Linked DNA regions of Xenopus tropicalis. The protein of the gene in region 3 interacts with the protein of the main gene of each other region in a pairwise test. Links are inferred from orthologs where the notes say so. Each region holds a gene or a part of one and is shown on either strand. Other genes may lie near its edges.

What was found.
Region 1: the proteins of arl15 (region 3) and retinal rod rhodopsin-sensitive cGMP 3',5'-cyclic phosphodiesterase subunit delta interact in binary tests that used the Homo sapiens proteins (3 or more experiments, as listed by UniProt). The link is inferred for Xenopus tropicalis from reciprocal best matches to the Homo sapiens genes ARL15 and PDE6D.
Region 2: the proteins of arl15 (region 3) and unc119 interact in binary tests that used the Homo sapiens proteins (3 or more experiments, as listed by UniProt). The link is inferred for Xenopus tropicalis from reciprocal best matches to the Homo sapiens genes ARL15 and UNC119.

Annotation. Positions count from the first base shown.
Region 1 is NC_030681.2:101,179,478-101,183,679, forward strand, and holds the start of retinal rod rhodopsin-sensitive cGMP 3',5'-cyclic phosphodiesterase subunit delta, read right to left. Parts: upstream 2,912-4,202; 5' UTR 1,886-2,911; coding exon 1,839-1,885; intron 1-1,838. UniProt on the Homo sapiens protein: Promotes the release of prenylated target proteins from cellular membranes. Modulates the activity of prenylated or palmitoylated Ras family members by regulating their subcellular location.
Region 2 is NC_030678.2:34,709,121-34,712,028, reverse strand, and holds the end of unc119 (protein unc-119 homolog A), read right to left. Parts: intron 2,705-2,908; coding exon 2,592-2,704; 3' UTR 585-2,591; downstream 1-584. UniProt on the Homo sapiens protein: Involved in synaptic functions in photoreceptor cells, the signal transduction in immune cells as a Src family kinase activator, endosome recycling, the uptake of bacteria and endocytosis, protein trafficking in sensory neurons and as lipid-binding chaperone with specificity for a diverse subset of myristoylated proteins.
Region 3 is NC_030677.2:192,109,556-192,113,213, reverse strand, and holds part of arl15 (ADP-ribosylation factor-like protein 15), read right to left. Parts: intron 1,539-3,658; coding exon 1,330-1,538; intron 1-1,329.

The DNA.
Region 1 (4,202 bases), on a different chromosome or scaffold from region 3:
TTTAAAGGAACAGTTCAGTGTAAAACTGAAACTGGGTAAAATAGACTGTGCAAAATAAAAAAATGTTTTCAATATGGTTAGTTAGCCGAAAATGTAATCTATAAAGTATTATGTAGGCAGATGTCTAACATAGTAGCCAGAACACTACTTCCTCCTCCTAAGTTGTTAACAGTCAGTTACCAATCAGTGACTTGAGTGGACATAACATTTTGCACAGTCTATTTTACACAGTTTCATTTTTTACTAAACTGTTCCTTAAACAGCAAAATAAGTAGCACAGCTAAGCAGGGAGAGGTGATGGCTGGGGCTTGCGGGCAGACTGGCATTCAAAACAGGCCATGGCATTTCAGGCAGAGATGCCCAAACCAAACAGCCCCCCATCAACCCACTAGTGACTGTCTATGGCATCTTACAGCAGCCTCTCTGGCATTTGCCAGCCAGGGCTTGGGTGGCAGGGTCTGGGCCCACTGAGATTTTTCCTGATATCCTGGTAGTCCAGTTTGACCCTGGAGCTAAGGTCCAGTGCTTAAGGCAGCACCAGACAAATTAAAAAGTTTAGCTTCCATACAGGGCCCAGTGGGCTGCCTATATCGGTCTGTGTATAGACACATGGAAAGACTAAGAATCCTATATATACTAGGGGCTGCCAAAATGTAAAGCACTACCCAGTGCATTACATTACTATACTATCTCCTCAGACCGATGCTCCTTTGTGTCCTTATTTTTTCAGATTTTAGTCTATTACACATGCTCAAATCTAAGTTTATGAAAGGCACAGCTGAACCACTTTTAGAAAGTTTCCCAAGCCAGTAGTGATGTCGGGGTCGACTTCTTGTCGACCTGCACCCCCCCCCCCTCTCCATCTGCACCCAAACTGGCCCGCAGCTTCATGTCTATTAAATAAAAAAAGACTCCAGTGATTAAATTCACTTAGAGGGGAATTTACATATCAACACTTCCCCTACCCCAATGACAAGGTTTCTTTCCCATTAAAGACACAACACATACAAGACCTTAACCACATCATCAAAAATAAGTCTACTTCTATAGAAATAGACCTAGCAATCTGTAATAATGACCACCCCTTCAGATCAAAAAAACCTTATAGAAGCCACTTATCATATACCTCTGCCTATGGCATGAATTCAAACAAAAAAAAAACCACTCATTGAGAAAATGAAATCAAATATCTGATAGGTTGTCATGAGCAACTGAATTGGTGATATGTAGTAGTTGTTATCTTAGTAAATCATCCATACAGAGAGTTAACCCATACAAAATGGCTGCAATGTAACCGATCTAGTGCTTATTTCATAATGCCAGCAGTTGTTGTTTGTCTGTTAAACAAGCAGGTCTGATGCAGACTTGCACTTTTTTGTAGTATTTTATTATACAAATTTTGAGGTGTTTATTGCGTCTCTGAATCCCAATAGTGTGTGTATTTGATGCATTTAATGTTCTAGCACCAAATATAAACCTATAGATAAGTATATCACATATGGTCACACCATGCTGATAGTTTGCATTAATGCCGTATTGCAGGGAAGTCCTACCTGTGGCCTGCCATCTGGACTAGATCTCCCTAAGCGCTAATCACTAATCACTTTTAATCTTCCAAGAGATGCTGAAAGCTCAACAGCTGGAGGGCCAGAGGCTGGTCATCAATGCAACACTGAGATAAAAAAAAATAAAGCCTGAATCACCAGACGCCACTCATTTTTTTGACTTAAATTTATATCTTATACTTACAACACCTGACCTACACCAAGGGACCCATAATTGTGATATCACTTTCTCATAACATGCTCTTTTCCACTTACACCCTTATTGTTGGATACAGTTTGAATCCCTTTAGGATTTGCTTGGCTCTCTCATCCTGAGACATGTTGAATGCTGTCCTTGATTTCCTTTATCAGTTGAAGGATTATCCCTTGAGATATACAGTTCAAGTTTTCCGGTCCTAGTTATGCAAAAGCTATAAAAGCCAGTGTTGAGTTTTACAGTGATTACAATAGACTTCTGGCCTCTGTAGATGATCCAGGTTTGTTAAGCCTGCATAAGATTCATACTGACACAACAAAAGTTTAGTTTGGTTTAAAATTAAATACGATGGTCTTGGAACAGTACTGGTATAAGTCTTGTTTAATTTAAATTTCAGAAAGTACATGCATGACGGTCTCTCGCTGGCCAGTAGAATGACAATAAAATAGGTGTGGCCTAACCCTAACTTGGACTGTCAGAGTAATTCCATTTCAGCCAGTGCTAGCAACAGCAACCAGCACAAGCAATCATAGGTGATCCAACAGTAGCTTCACTCTCTCAGTACATACACGTTTTAATATGCAATATCTTGAGATGTGTCCAAGTGCCAATTCTGGCAGGTGAGTTGGGGCCCTTGCAGCAATTGATGATATGGACAATACACAAAATATAACTGCAATGGTAGATGGTTTGAGCCAGAAAGGGTACAGGCAAGCGATATCAGCCAGTCAGACCACAGGTAGGCTGTACAGGCCAGACATAGTGCAGGTAGGTCGGTGCTGGGGTAATCTAGCAGCATAAACAGCTTCTATGCATTAAGTAGTAGTTCCACACCTATATCACACCCACCACATAGAGTAATAATCCTGAACAGAATTTGCAGTTTTACTTGCACCTGGAGGCGAGCAGCGTGGATTCTGCCTCTGACAGACGCCCTGATCAGCTTTCCGTAACACAGAGGTCCCAGGGCCACGGCACTGGGAAGAACTCTACAATGTTGCACTGCTTTCCGGAATCGTATAGTAACTACTCGTTATGTCAGCATGGATTTAACAACTAGCTCCTCGTCTACAGGATCTGGCTAAGAAGATTTACTAAGCTACATCAGTTCCTCCTATTTGCCCTATGACGTTTAGTACAGTTCAACAAAAAATGCTAGCACCGGCCAATCACAGTCGGAATCCCTGCTGAGTGATATCGCCACGCACCAATTAGGAGAGAGAGAACGTCGCACGCAGGGCGGGACAAATCGATTTCAAGTCTGGTTGAGTGCTCGCGCGTCACTAATTTGAGGAACCTCATGTTGCATAGAAACGGAGGAAAGTTGTACGGGACACGAAAAGGGTCAAAATACATTCACTGGCTACTTGTTCCAGGTGGTAATAGAGAATAATTGAGTTTGGGTGATCTTGCAAAGTTTACTTACTGAAGCAAAGCAATTTAGAGCACAAGTTCACATGTTCACAACTCGTGTAGGTAACTTAATGCATTACATGATGACTGTTAGTAACTACATAGTTGGGAAGATACTGGATTCTATTTTTTTTTATTTTAGGTTAAATTTACTGGCGCAAATTTTCTCCCCCTCTTATTCAACCATAGTTTACAGACCCGGACTGTGATTCAAAATAGGACATGGCATTTCTATTATACAGAGGCCCAAATAGCCCCCCCCCCCCTCCCCAATAAATAGTGACTTGTAGATTGTAAGCTCTTTTGGGCAGGGCCCTCTTCACCTCTTGTATCGGTTACTGATTGCTTTATATGTTACTCTGTATGTCCAATGTATGTAACCCACATATTGTACAGCGCTGCGGAATATGTTGGCGCTTTATAAATAAATGTTAATGTAATAATTTATAGTGCACATCAGGCATTTACCAGAATACACAGATTACCAGTCCAGGCCTGAGGGGCACCGAAATTATATTATATAATGAGAGGCAGTGGGTACTGACTCACAAAATACATTTTATATAATGGGAGGAACTACGTACTGAAAAACCAAATATAAACTGAGAGGAAGTGGGCATTGAAACACTGCCAGGAGAGCTAGTAGGGAGAGGCGACACAAAAATTCTCTTAACTGCACAAAAACTGGATACCTACAGTGGCTTGCAAAAGTATTCGGCCCCCTTGAACTTTTCCACATTTTGTCACATTACAGCCACAAACATGAATCGATTTTATTGGAATTCCACGTGAAAGACCAATACAAAGTGGTGTACACGTGAGAAGTGGAACGAAAATCATACATGATTCCAAACATTTTTTACAAATAAATAACTGCAAAGTGGGGTGTGCGTAATTATTCAGCCCCCTGAGTCAATACTTTGTAGAACCACCTTTTGCTGCAATTACAGCTGCCAGGCTTTTAGGGTATGTCTCTACCAGCTTTGCACATCTAGAGACTGAAATCCTTGCCCATTCTTCTTTGCAAA
Region 2 (2,908 bases), on a different chromosome or scaffold from region 3:
GCAATAGTTACTAGCAGATATGGTCTCCAGCGTACAACATTATATATTCCTTCATTTTTACTAAAAAAAATATTAAAGATCTATCTGTAGCAAAGGATGACAGCACTTTTTCTTTCTCTCAGTGTTGGACTGGGGCTGCGGGGCATTGGGAGAAAATCCAGTCCTGTTACCGGCAAGGGACTGGAATGGAGAAATCAGTTTGCAGCAGCTGAGGTGGGGCGGCAGGGGCAGTATGTGATGGGAGGGGAGACATGGGTCCTCCTTGAGATGGCGGCCCCCAGATACCCCAGCCCTACATTGCTATCTTTGCAGAGTACATACATTCATTATCCAGAAAGCTCCGAATTACAGGAAGACCATCTCCCATAAACTCAATTTTAATAGTTCTAATTTTTTCTATATTTGTAAAAATGATTCAATTTATCTCTATAATAATAATAATAATAAAACAGTACCTTGCACTTGATCCCAACTAAGATATAATTTGCCCTACTGGGTTTAATTAAATGTTTAAATGAGTTTTAGCAGACTTAAGGTTTGGAGATTTACCTCAAAATATAAATGAACTTCTCACACAATATTGGTTTCATTTCACAAAAGTTTACTATAATTAAGTCAGAACACAAACAAGACTGAAATGACCCCTCTACCAAGCTGGTGGCGGTACTTTGTTAAAATCTATGATACTTACAGTAACAATTATCTGAAGTGCACATATTACATTCTACTTAATCCTCAAACAGACAGACATTCTTTATTTATAATTATACATAGAAATATCTACAACTTGCAGCTGTAAAGACTCCCTCCTTATTTATACAGAAAATGGTGGATTCGGTAAAGTGAAAAATATGCATTTGATAAGTGACAGTTATTAAAATAATGAAATATCAAAAGTGAATTCTTTCTTCGGTCTCATCGTTACCCAGCCGTACGTATGCACTGTAGGGACAGCCATTTACCTGCATTATAAACTAGTTATTTAAATGTCCGTTAGCGGAATATCTCGCAGCATCGTCAAACATGTTTCAAGGAAGAAATCTGAAATTCCAGGTCAGCAAAATACAATAAATTTGTTCTAAAGAAAGAAAATACATGATGATAAAGTCATATTGTTAAAAAAACAATGAGAACTGGAATTGGGTTTTTTTTTTTATCAATGTATGTTAATTGGTTTTGGTGAGGTTAATCCTTAAATATAAATGCTTATTTACATTTGATGGTCTCATAAAATATACAGCAATTCATTTATTCTGCCCCAACACCAAGAGCACAGCTGCAGCATTTTGGAAGCTCATTACAAAAATGTCAGAGAAGATACTAATGGCTGGACTTGATCATATTTACTGGAAATCTGTATAGCTGTTCCAATGCATCTGGAGATCTTCTCCTCTTCCCAATATAGGTGCCACAGCATTTTTTCTTTTTAAAAATAAATTGTGTAGTTATCATCATCATCAAGAAGAGGAAGAAGAAACGAAAAAGACCTCCAAAATTGAAGCTATTCACAATCTTCATGATATTGTATTATACATGGAATTATTGCTCAACTGACTGGAATTCTAAATGTGCATTTACTGCAATCAAAAAAAGAAAAAAAAAATACTTGCCTCTGTGAGCTTGTTCCCCAGGAGGAGGACCGGACCATTTGAAATAAATATGCAGCGCTTCTTGGTGATATTTAAATTAAAGACAAAAAAAAATAAAGGAAAAAAACAAACAATTGCTCACAGGTTGTTACTGATTGTACTCCGTTCTAGTCTCCATGATGGATTACATTGCTAATATTGTTATTTCTGCACAATACAGTGTAACCGTAAACAAAACTTATTTCAAATATATCAGATCAGGTTTTACCTTGGATGGGCCTCATTGCTTCAGACTCATAGGTAACTAGGCTGGACTCAATAATAATGTAATTTGCAATCATGGATGGAACACTTAATCCTTAACGATCTATGCACAATTTTGTGTTTGTTTTTTGTGTAATAGCCATCTCATTAGAAATGAATGGGAAAATGTCAAACAATACTTAATGCCTAGAGAATAACAAGAATCCTAACAAGTGCAAGCCCAAAGAGGAAGAACTGATTAAATCTTTGGCTTGGATTTCCTTGATAACAATGTTTTTTTCCCAAGCTGACATTTAGTAAAAAAAGAAACTACTGAATGATTTTTTTGTCCTTTCTTCTCTTAGATAGAGGCAAGAATATTGATGAAGAACTCACAAGCCTGTCATATGAGAAAGGTTGGTCCTAAGAAGACTTAGATAAGATGCAAGAGTCCTTGTTCCAGGAGAACAACCCTTTATATGGAGCAAGAGAGAAGTATTTATTTAGGTTTATCCTTATCCCACATTCATGTTGGGAAGGGCTGATGAAGTCCACTGCCTCAGATTTTGCAGTTTGACGATTCTTGCACTATCTGAATGTGCTACAAAGACTGGGGTACAGCCAAAAATCTCCTACTTGCAAACAGTATATTGTTTCCTGGATTGTTTGCCTACGGAAAGTGGGTGTTATCCCTTACGTAACTGCTATGGGGAAAGGGGACTGCTGTTGATGCTTTCTCGCTCGTGCTATTTTTGGGGATCACGGACCTCCGCTATATGAATAATCTGCCTTGTTGTGCATCACAAGTTTGTTGTCCACAAAGTAGAAACTGTCCGATTGTGTCTCATATGGGTGCAGAATCATTTCGCGAACTGCAAAATAGAATGAGAAAAAAAAGGGGAAACAAGATTTTTATTTTGCAATATTTATTAAACATCAATCTCAAACAAAATGGACCTTCCATTGCCAGAATGTTACAGAATATTATGAGTACAGATTTATTTGGCAAAAATGTACTTTAAGCCATCTAATTCTTTATCTTACAGTCTCAGGGTAGAAGCTTGCACACAAATGGT
Region 3 (3,658 bases):
AAACCAATGTAGCATTTTACTGGCTTGTATCTTTGGATGGATAGATGGAAGAGAGACATGACCAGAGAGGAACTACATTCAATACAAAAGACATTCCTGGTACAAATATAGAGTGAATTTGCAGTTGTCTGATAGCCTGCTCTGTATATGTGCCAAGAAAGGCTGACAAACTACATAACTTTTAGGGCACTTAAGACAGAAGTAACTTTATATGTGTCCCCCAATTTTATGGGGAGTTGTAACATCTGTTTGTACCCTGTAACTGTTTGCTAAGGAACTGACAAATCCAAGGGGCTGGATGATAAACTTTCTTTGTATTATTATTGCACTTCCTAATGTATCTTTTCAAACCGCCTCTCACAGTTCCTAGAATTTTCAGTTTTGGGGGAGGCTGATTGGCATGCACCTTAGACTCCACATTCCATTGACCACTATCACAAAAACACTTTGCCACCGGCACTATAAACAAATGGCCTAAATAGTCATAAATCTAAACCTAAAATGTCATTGTGTGTGTGTCTGTGCGAGTGAACTAGGCCTAAAAAATATCAGTGACACTTTCCCTTTAAAAAAATCTTTCATCTGGAAAGATGCTTATTTCTTTTTCACTTTGAAGTGAAGGCTTGTAGTCATTTTATGCCTGACTACTCCTGAATAACTGAAACCTGTCTCTAGTGGTGAGTTGTAAAATGAGCGATGAACTGCACCAGCAACTGTAAAGGCACCGCGAGTCTGCAATAAGCATCATGTGCCACATGTGAGGACATATCACTCCAGCTTCCTAGCTGAAATTTAAGCACTTTTATTAGGTTCTACTTTAGAGATATCAGGCATGCAGGCCTAGAGCGGTCATTAACTTTAACTCCCAGCATAGTCCACGGTTCATGTGAAGCTTACTAACTGCTCATTCAATATTCACTTTTCCCCAAATTAACAGTAGGTTTACCCAGATCCCCTAAGAATCATAAAATCAAAGTTGCTGCTTTTTTGGTAGCTCGACATAGAAAGTGGACTGTTCTCTATTAGGATGCAGGGAATATTACTGACTGCATCTCTGGCCTTAACCTTCCATGTTGTGTTTTTTTGCAGGAGATTTGAGTGTGATTTTTGGTGCCATTGATACAAAATCAGTAAGCGGCACACCTCCCATTTGTTATGGTACCATACCTCTTACCTGCTCATTAACCCATTTGCTTTGGCTACTTACCTTTCACAAGGTGGAAGTGCTTATTTGAGGTGTGTCACTTACCAAGACCTCAATTAGACTGAGTTGGATTCAGAAGGAAACGGTGCTACAGTGAGCAACTGTAGAAATCAGGGGAAACGTACCTCCTGTATTGAGCGAGCTGCTGGCTTGTCCTGGTGGTTGGCCAGTATTAAAAAGGGTAAAGTGCATAACTGTGGGTGCTGCAGAGCTGAATGGAGCTCGTTTCTGGCAGTTTCGAGGTCATCTTCGGACGAGGCACTGTCTAGCACGAATATCACACCCTGGGATCCCTGGTAGTAGCGACTCCAGTACTTCCTGATGTTGGTGGCCCCTTTATGAAAATAAACAAAGATACTTGTTAAAAAGTACATAGAAGTTAAGAAGTACATAGAATGCAAATAGTAGGTCAGTCACCTGTGGCCTTGTAGCTGCTGCTGCTGCCGCCTATGGTTCCCCCCAGCATGTAAATAATGAACATTTACAATGCTGTCACTACTGCAAACAAAACACTTTCTACTCATTTGGCTACCAAACTGCAAATCTTAGGGTGAAGACATACAGAGCTACTTAGTTGCAGCTTTCACGTAGCAAGACAATTATCAGTAAAAGATCAGCATTGTCTATTTCTGTAGCTACGACAAGTAGCTGCTACTAGTAGCTCCATGTGTCTTCACCCTTAGGTAAAAACTCTATTCAAACCTTGCAATTTACAGGATGTTATCTTCCACGTGTTTCCAAGTACAAAGATAAGATATTATAAATATAAATGACATTGGCATTCAGAATAGTTTGATACTTAATATGCATTTAACTACCTAACTTTATTGCATTTAGAGATACCATGGTGCAAATAGTATATTCACATTTTAACTCCTCTCATGCATAGTAAGCCTGCAGGCACAGAAAGCTTGGCAGCTGGGCTAACTGATTTACAGCAGTCATCTATTTGGCCCCTCGGCTACAGGAAGGCTTCCCTGATCATAAAGGCTCTCACTAGAGGGCACACAAACCTCCTGTTTCCTAAGGGGTGAAGACAAACGGAGCTACTAAGTAGCAGCTATTTGTTACGGCTACTGACCACCAGAAAATACCCTGCCATAGACAATACTGAGAATTGCCTTTGCTAAACACGTAGAGACAATTATCAGTAAATGATCAGCATTGTCTATTTCTGTAGCCACGACAAGTAGCTGCTACTAGTAGCTTGATGAATTCAAATGCCCCGAAAGGTGTAAATGGCTGTTCCGTGCATAGCTACAATCCTTGGCCCTGCTGATTTATAGAGCACCAGTCACCTTAGATTTCCCTTTAAATCTTCATACAAATGGTAGAAGACCCAAGCAAGCTTGTTTTGTTTAAGATGATAGATTTGAAGGGTAATTTCATGAAACTGCTGATAAATAAGTTATTTTCCTCAGCAAGAGTTGCAAGCGAACAGCCTGTCCCTGCATCATGTACAATTGCTCCCTCCTGGACCATCAGCAAATACCACATTTCTGTCTTCACATGTGGGGAGAAGGATCCTGGAGGAATATGTTCTTTATGCATCTGTACACTTCCCGGTCCCACTAGAGATAAAACTATTGCGAGACGGAACAATATACATATCGCTGTAATGTGCCGTTCACACAAAACCGATCATTCTTCATGGTGTTGACTCACGCGGAGCAACAATTTAACGGGAACACATCAGACGATCTTAAAAGGGAAATTTTTCAGGGAAATCATCTTGTTGTTGTCTTTGAATCTTGCATAGCAATTAGCCAAGAAGAGTGTAATGTGTGTCTATTTACAACTCCGTCTTGCCTGTAGCTAATTACTCCATGCGTGTTAGCTCTGCGCTTAAAAGAAAACACCATGTGGAGACAGTTTGCAGTCCCAGTGCCATTCCACTCCGTAAGGGTCAGCGATAAGCACGATTCATAACAAACCCGAAAGGGCACTGTTGTTTAGTTAGGTGACTGGTTTGGTTGCATGGATATCAGTATCCAGTTAGGGAGGTCTGTATAACTAGAGATCATCCTCCTGCTACTTTCTTTTTATGCACAGAAATTTAGATTATAAGGCACCGGTGCTAATGCCAAAGTACAAATCTGAAGTCTGTAATGTGTTTAGTTAAAGCCCTGTCACATTTCCATTGACAGGACTCAGCATTAACCTTGCATACTAGAAGACTGGTAAGTTATCATAACACAGCACCAGTCCTTATGGACCCACGTGGCTGCTGGGTTGGCAAATAATCCCCAGTGAGTTGGTGGCCAGCTTAGTCCATCTGTACAGAAGATTGCCACAGTAGTGCATCTTTTAGCATTGCTGCTTTGTAGTGCTGGGCACCTACATTTAATAGAGGAGTTTGTATGTTATCTCATATCTTTGTAGGTCTCCTCTTGGTACTCTGGGTTCCTCTGGCACTTTAAAAACATACTAGCAGGTTTATAGGCTTTCTATGAA